2 linked regions of the Schizosaccharomyces pombe genome follow. The protein of the gene in region 2 interacts with the protein of the main gene of each other region in a pairwise test. Each region holds a gene or a part of one and is shown on either strand. Other genes may lie near its edges. The genes, in order: SPOM_SPBC21B10.08C and meu43.

Region 1 (3,592 bases), on a different chromosome or scaffold from region 2:
ATCCTAGTGGTCCTTCTTATGGTGAAGCTTTCAACAAAAATGGAGGCGGTGTATTTGTTCTTGATTGGCGTAGTGAAGGTATTCGATCGTGGTTTTTTAATCGTTCTGAAATTCCATCTGACATTACTTCTGGTTCTCCCCAACCTGCTAAATGGAGTGAACCCGTAGCTGACTTTCCAGATACCAAATGCGATATCGACAAAATGTTTTCAAAGCAAAAAATATTATTTGATTTGACATTTTGTGGTGATTGGGCAGGTTCTTCAGTTTATTCATCAGCAGGATGCCCCGGTTCGTGCAACGACTTTGTTGGTAATAATCCTCATAATTTTACTGAAGCATACTGGAATATCAAAAGCTTGGCCGTTTATCAATACTAAACCCCCTTCTTTTTTCTTTTTGATGAATTTTCTTGATTATATAGGCATAACATTAACATTGCATGCGTGATATCATCTCGATATATTGTGTGTAAATAAAATACATTTTGATTAGAACTTGAAGTAGAGAAACATTTTTTCGCATGTGTTTAGCAAAATGCGTAAAATAGTAATAAGCCTAAGTTTTGTCTGAAATTATGCGAGCTTGAATTTTTTAATAACTTGTGTTCTAATGCCATCGTTTACAAAGTAAATTTCGGTCTTAAAATTTCAATAAATTCACTACGCTAATTGATTAATAATATAGGGTTTAGGAATATTCATATAAGGTACTCTTCAGAAATATCAAAAGGTTTGGGATTCGTATATGTTGTAAAAACGTTTGTTCATTTCTGTTGCAAAATACATCTAAGGGCGGTTTAAGAAACCAACGCCAGAATAAATCACTTGCTGAGAAACAGAAGTAGCACCAGAAATTTCAGCAGGACCAGGCTCAATACCACTCTTGGAGTATCTGGTAACGACAGCATATAGGCTAGGATCATCCAAGGAATGAATAATCAAACTTGTGTCAGCTTTAGGATTAACGGTGAGCTGTTGCTTAAGAGTAGCAGAATCGCCAGTATATTCGGTATACAAAACATAGTCCTTGGCATCTGGGCCTAAGTTGTCCTTATCTAAATGACCATCAACAACCTTAAAATTCAATAGTTGCAAAGGCTCTGCCAAAGGAGCATGAGTAGAGGTCAAATAATTGGCAAAAGCAAGGAAGGGATTTGAGGTTTTGTGAGAATTCTCTAATACCTCCTTTGAATCATACAGCTCAAGACCAAAGATATAATCAGGGTTTTTAGCATCACGAGCGAAATAATAGGTTTTAGTGAAGGGTTCTGATTTCAATACATGCTCATTAACTTTACTCAAAAGGTCAAGGATCTGTACATATAGTTAGTAAAGGATTCAAGAAAAGGATAAATTCCTGAACAAAAGCAAACAACAATTACAGTAATGAGAGTAGATTTCTATTACAGCACAGAAGATTTAAACTGACATGTCGTGGCATCTCATTTATTTCCAACTTTACAATGCAGTTGAGATAGACATTTCTCAATTCACCACGCTTATTCTATAAACACCTTGATAATGCTTTTGCATTCAATTTTTAACTCACCTTATCACCTTCACCCTTCTTACCGATAATTTTGGCAATGTAGACGTGAGTACTAGCAGGGAAACTCATAATTCTTTAACAACTATATAACTTATTGTCAAATGCTTTTGGGCAGTTAATTCGTATGAAGTAGTATATTTGTAGTCAGTCACGTGACGGGTTGCATAGAAAATGAAAGAATGCGATCGGGTAAATCGCGGACTTGATGTCAAACCAACCAAACTAGGTATTAAAGTATTCATAATTTTAAGCAAAAGGTTCCATAATTACGGATAGATTACGATAGGAATGCAAAAATAACCTTGATTATGCTACTGTTCTCCAACGTGTCGAACAAACACTTCTTGACGATCAATAGAATTATTATATAATATAGTTGTAATTGGTCATATAAAAATTTGAGAATTGACCTGTCGACCTTGACAAGTCTACGTATTCTACGAAGTTCCATAATTTTTATATGAACAAAGTCTACATAGTACAGCAACTAGTTTCGGTCAGTCAACCGTTCGTAAATTTGAGAGCTTTCATCAGCAATATCATAAGTCTAAGACCACTGGTTTCAAATTTATCCAAATAGTTTGTAAATTAATGCATCCAAAAAGTGTACTGTTCAAAGACATTACTTTTGTTAAACACAATCGCTATGCTACTACTCCCTTCGCTTACTCCGCGACTTGTGAAATATTTGACACTAGCGAAATTATAATTAGTAGTTTTTTGAAACATGTTTACAAAGCCGTTAATTTGAGGATAATTAAAAAAATGTATAGTTAATCATAAAAAATAGTCTGTTCTTTTTTCAAGCGTTTACAATAAAACATATGCAATTTAATATATGCTGATCATTATATTAAGGTTATCTTGAGTAGTAAAATAGGGAAATGCGAACGAAAATCCAACTTTAACAGATTTTCAAAGTGCCCAACTAACCGTATTTTTATAATCATCTTTTTTTTTGGAAGTGAAGTGCTTTTTTACGCTAACCATTTAAACAGATACTTTGAAGAGACATATTATAGAAAACAAATAGTAACTAACACCATTTATTTACAATGCTAAGGTTTTTTCTACAAATTTATTCATATATTTTATCATTGAAAAAAGCAACCATTCTACAAGAAAATCGTATTGTAAGATAGCATATTATCCGTTAGCCATGCAGTTGGTATTATTGTTTTGATGGTACGCTAAACGAAATGGGATTTTAAATCGTGATCTATTTAAAGCGGTAAACAGGTATCAAGTATATTCGTATGAAGGTAATACTTTTATTTGTCACTGAAAATAGCTCATGTCTAAACATGAAGCATGACTTCAGTAGGTTTGCTTAATAAGTATTTTAATAATAATAACAATACTTAGAATCTATTTTGTATAGCGAATGAATAAATAGAACGCTATTATATAACGAGGTTAACGTAATATGTTACTGCTGTCGTTATCAACGAAATAAACTAGTGAACTCGCATACGCTATCCTGCTAGTGTAATTTGTCAATCGTTCGTTGAAGAATGTAGGCTGGTATGTTTGGCAACAACACCACTGCGATTAAATCTTCGTATTGAGGCATCGATTTTTCTTGGAAAACCTTAGACATAAATTACAGGGGATGAAATTTTGGAATTTAGTTTTCTGACATAAAAGGATTTGCATTTGTTTTCTTAATTACAGTAGAATTCGAATTTACGCGTAATTATCATTACGTTCAACTTATTAAAAGCTCGAATTTCTTTTCCATGGTCTTTAAGGCTCACCATCGAAGTATTACTCGACAAGATATAGAGCTTGAAGATTTAGAAAATGCTCCTGCTTCCATCGCATCAATTGAAAATGATACTTTAGAAGCTAACGTGGGTAGTACGCCTCTGACGGCTAAGCAAAAAAGAAACATCTATTTTCTGATACTACTGTGTAAGTCAATTCTAATTTTTTTCAACCATCATTCCTTAATTGTTATTGTATGGATAGTTGATTTATTTACTCACATGTGTGTGCATTTATTATATTAACAATTCAAGATCTTATTCAGGGTGTTCCT
Region 2 (4,161 bases):
GGAAGGTCAGCAAGCTAGTCTTGCTGCTGACTATAGCGTCAAAGAATTTAGTCATGTCTCGCGTCTTCTACTATGGCATGGTCGAATTAGTTATAAACAAACATCGAAATTAGCTATGTTTGTTATTCATCGTGGTCTTTTGATTTCTGTTTGCCAAGTTGTCTATAGTGTAATTTCTGCATTTGAACCGATCGCTTTATTTCAAGGTTTGCTTTTGGTTGGATACTCTACAATGTACACAATGCTTCCCGTTTTTTCGATTGTGTACGATAGGGATGTAAGTGAGAAGCTGGTCTTCTTATTCCCAGAACTGTATAAGGAAATGAGGGAGCAAAAATGTTTTTCTTACAAAAATTTTATATCTTGCGTTCTCATTAGCGTATATCAAGGTATGTTAAATTTTATTTCATTACCATACTTACAAACATAGGATTAATTATCCAACTGTTTACATTCTACCTCATTGGATTTGAGGAAGAAGGGAAAATGTTGGCTGTTTGCTTTTCTTGTTTGATCTTCAACGAGCTTATTATGGTTGCTTTACAGATTAACACATGGTAAGTTTACCTTTCTCACTTGTGTGTAGGTATATATACTAACGACGTTAGGGAACAAACAATTGTAATGTCTGAGTTGTTAACTTTGATGATGTATATCCTTAGCGTGCCATTTTTAACTAATTATTTTGGTATGTTTAATATATTTACGAAGAATTTTAGAGAAGCTAATACATATAGAACTCAAATTCCTCCTTGGATTGAAGTTTTATTGGGTGAGTGCGCTTATACTATTTATCAGTCTTTTACCCGTCTGGTGCGGCAAAGCTCTTAAAAGGAAGCTTAAACCATCGAGTTATGCAAAGCTGCAACGTTAATTTGGAAATATTACTTTCTTTTGATACGCGCGTTTGATTAGCTTTTAATCGATCATTATAAAACTTAATGGTGTGGTAAAGACCTCTCGTGGTTTGCCCTGTTGTAATAGAAGTTCTTGCAAATAAAATTGCTCTTCCTAGTAACTCCTACCTCATTATTCACTCAAGCTGGCTAGTATTATTGACTTCAAGCTTTCGTCTCGTAAGTCTTCAAACCAGCCGTACATTTGTTTCTTTAAATTCGAAGATAGAACTGACGGAACTGGAAATAAGGTTAAAAATGTATGGATGCGCAGCCAAGTTTTATAGTGGGTTTTTATTTTTTCGAGATATTCATTCTTAGACGCCGAAATTTCGAGTCCACAGTCATCTAATTTAATGTCTTCTTCCAGAATGCAAATTAATAGTTTAAGCTGTTTAAAAGAATCTTGATTCAGAGGAATACAACCCAATGAATGTTGAGCATTTATCTGATAGTTTAAAAGTCCATACAAAGAATCAATTACCGTTAAACTTTTCTTAATGAGATTTTCTACTTTCTCATAACTCAACAAGGTTGAGAAGTAAATTGTTAAGAAATTATAAGATTCTTCAGGTTTTGAAAGATAAGCCAAGGAATTATCAGATGCGTTTATATTTAATTGAAGGACATTGATTTTTTGAAAATTTTTAAGGGTCGAATGGATAGTTGATTGAAGAGACTGTATGTCAGCTATGTTTACATTATCGACAGTCCATTCGTGGGCTGCCATGGCTTCAGTCAAGATGCGAATCATGTTATTTAATTCCATTCTCGTGTCTTTTAAATCTTGAACGGTAAGTTTTCTTTTTTCCAACGAATATTGTAAGACAGAATTACATCGCATGTTTAACAATGGCCTTCTAAAAGAGTTACGCTTCATCAGCAGACGTTTCAGATCAGCAGGTTGTCCTTTGGTATAGATGTCACGTGTAATGTTATTCATTTTTTCTTTTACGATGGTAATACAAACGCCGTGTGATGGTTATATGTTGCTTCAATGTTTGTATTGATGTATAGAGGAGTCGCGTTAATTGTAAAAGATTGGCAGGTGTTTGGCGGTACGCCAAACAGTAGCAACATCTCAAAGCTACTCCCCACCAATAAACATTCAACTAGTTAGCAGTTATAAGTTAGATCAAAGAAATGGCCTGAAATTACAGATTTTAAGATCCAATCTCCGTCTTTTTTTATGAAGCAGCTACACCAAATCTATCAATGAATTTCAAGACGATATCTTATGGTAGCTAATAAGTCTTAATACAAATTACTCCAAATCATATTTTTTACTAATTATATTCTGCTTAATACAGCAATTCGTAAAATTGAAACAAATTGCGAAGCAATTAGAAAACTATCTTAAACCAGCCTAATGAAAACTAGTGAAATACGGTAGTTCAGGAATTTTTATTCATATATATATCTCTTCCATTTAGAAATTTTATCTTTTTCTATGCCACATACATAGCACGATTGGAGGCTTTGGAATTTGAGTCTCGGTGAATCAAAGTTCTTTGGTCTTGTGAATCCACGTGCAACTAAAAGGAGTGCTAACAGTGACTTTTGGTACGCTGTGTATATGCAGAAAAAGATATTAGACACCAATTAAGCCGGGACGAAAGCCTAATTGGATTGCTTTCGTCTGACTATGCGTGTTTTACATTCATACCAAATTAAATAATTTAGCTAAAATATATAGAAAGTTACCAGATGATGAGAAGGCCTTTTGAAATAACAATTTGCTTACTGAAAACTTATACGTTAGACTTTTTAAAGCCATGAATACAACAGAGTTAAGTAAATTCATTGTTTGCTATACCAATTTTGAAATTTATTATTAATATTATTGTGTTTGCTGATATATTTGCGGATATTCAATTTTTAAATGCAACGGGAATTGACAACACCAACACAGTAAAAACTAAGTAGGAAATAAAACATTTATACAAATAATGAATGAAAAAAAAAGCGCCGACATAATTTTCATTGTAAGAAATAAGATAATCATTTCGTTTCAACCATCTTCTTTAATGCTTCAGTAGAGAAAGACTTAGGACGCTCAATAGGTAGTCCCAAAGCTCGATCCCAGATGAGTTGAGAGGCAACACCGAGTGTTCGAGAAACACCGAACAAAACGGTGTAGAAGCTTTGTTCTTTCAAGCCATAATATTGCAAAAGAACACCAGAATGTGAGTCAACGTTGGGATATGGATTTTTGGTTTTTCCATGCTCTGTAAGAACACCTGGAACTATTTCATACAGACGGCTTACAAGTTGAAACATGGGATCTTTAGGAAGATGCTCAAGTGCAAATTCACGCTGAGCCGTATAGCGAGGATCTGTCTTACGAAGTACGGCATGACCATAACCAGGAACAACACGACCAGAATTCAAAAGCTTCCAGAGATAAGACTTGATTGTTTCTTCAGATAAATCATCACCGATTTCTTTCTTCATTGTAATCAAAAAGTTCAAAACTTCTTGGTTGGCAAGACCATGAAGGGGACCAGCAAGTCCATTTAAGGAGGCAGCCATCGACAAAAAGGGTGAAGAAAGAGCAGAACCTACCAAATGACCGGTGTGAGCAGATACATTACCACCTTCGTGGTCAGCATGGATGGTCAAATAAAGACGCATAAGCTCCACAAATTCCTCATTGTTAGCAAAGCCCAGAACATTAGCAAAATTGTACGAATGGTCCTTATCCATTTGAATAGGAGCAACAACACCATCACGGTACAAATTGCGGTAGATACGACCGGCAATTGGAACGGTCTTGGCAATCAAATCCATGCAGTCTTCATATTCATACTTCCAATAATCATGCTTGTTCATTCCACGCTCATATGCTTTAGCAAATGCAGAATCGTGCTCAAGTGCAGTAACAGCGAGAGAGAATTGGGCCATTGGATGAAGGGTAGGAGGGCAACGGTCAATGAGTTCTTCAACAAATTTGGGTAACTGAGAACGGGCGGCCCAGTCAGCGGAAAGCGCCTGCACTTGACTCAGAGTAGGAATTTCCCCGGTAACTAAAAGCCAGAACAAAGATTCAGGAAGAGGCTGTTTTCCGTTGGGAGAAGAAGGAAGTAATTTTTGGCATTCCGGGATAGTATAACCACGGAATCGGATACCCTCGTTAGGGTCTAAAACAGAGCCTTCCCATATTAAAGAACGAACCCCACGAGCACCACCATACATTTGATTGATAGTTACCTCACCAATGACATCTTGGCCATGTTCTGCGCGAAATTTTTTGATTTCTGCTTGT

The links.
Region 1: the proteins of meu43 (region 2) and SPOM_SPBC21B10.08C interact in a two-hybrid assay, tested with the Schizosaccharomyces pombe proteins (one large-scale study listed by BioGRID).

Annotation. Positions count from the first base shown.
Region 1 is NC_003423.3:1,653,974-1,657,565, reverse strand, and holds SPOM_SPBC21B10.08C (uncharacterized protein), read right to left. Parts: upstream 1,662-3,592; 5' UTR 1,621-1,661; coding exon 1,552-1,620; exon of another isoform or gene 1,317-1,551; coding exon 789-1,316; 3' UTR 638-788; downstream 1-637. Other genes in the region: glycosyl hydrolase family Crr1, read left to right, coding at 1-380; SPOM_SPBC21B10.09 (acetyl-CoA transporter), read left to right, coding at 3,291-3,465, 3,573-3,592.
Region 2 is NC_003424.3:2,328,833-2,332,993, reverse strand, and holds meu43 (protein meu43), read right to left. Parts: upstream 2,185-4,161; 5' UTR 1,840-2,184; coding exon 1,030-1,839; 3' UTR 875-1,029; downstream 1-874. Other genes in the region: flippase Neo1, read left to right, coding at 1-389, 431-557, 609-688, 738-874; citrate synthase Cit1, read right to left, coding at 2,898-4,161.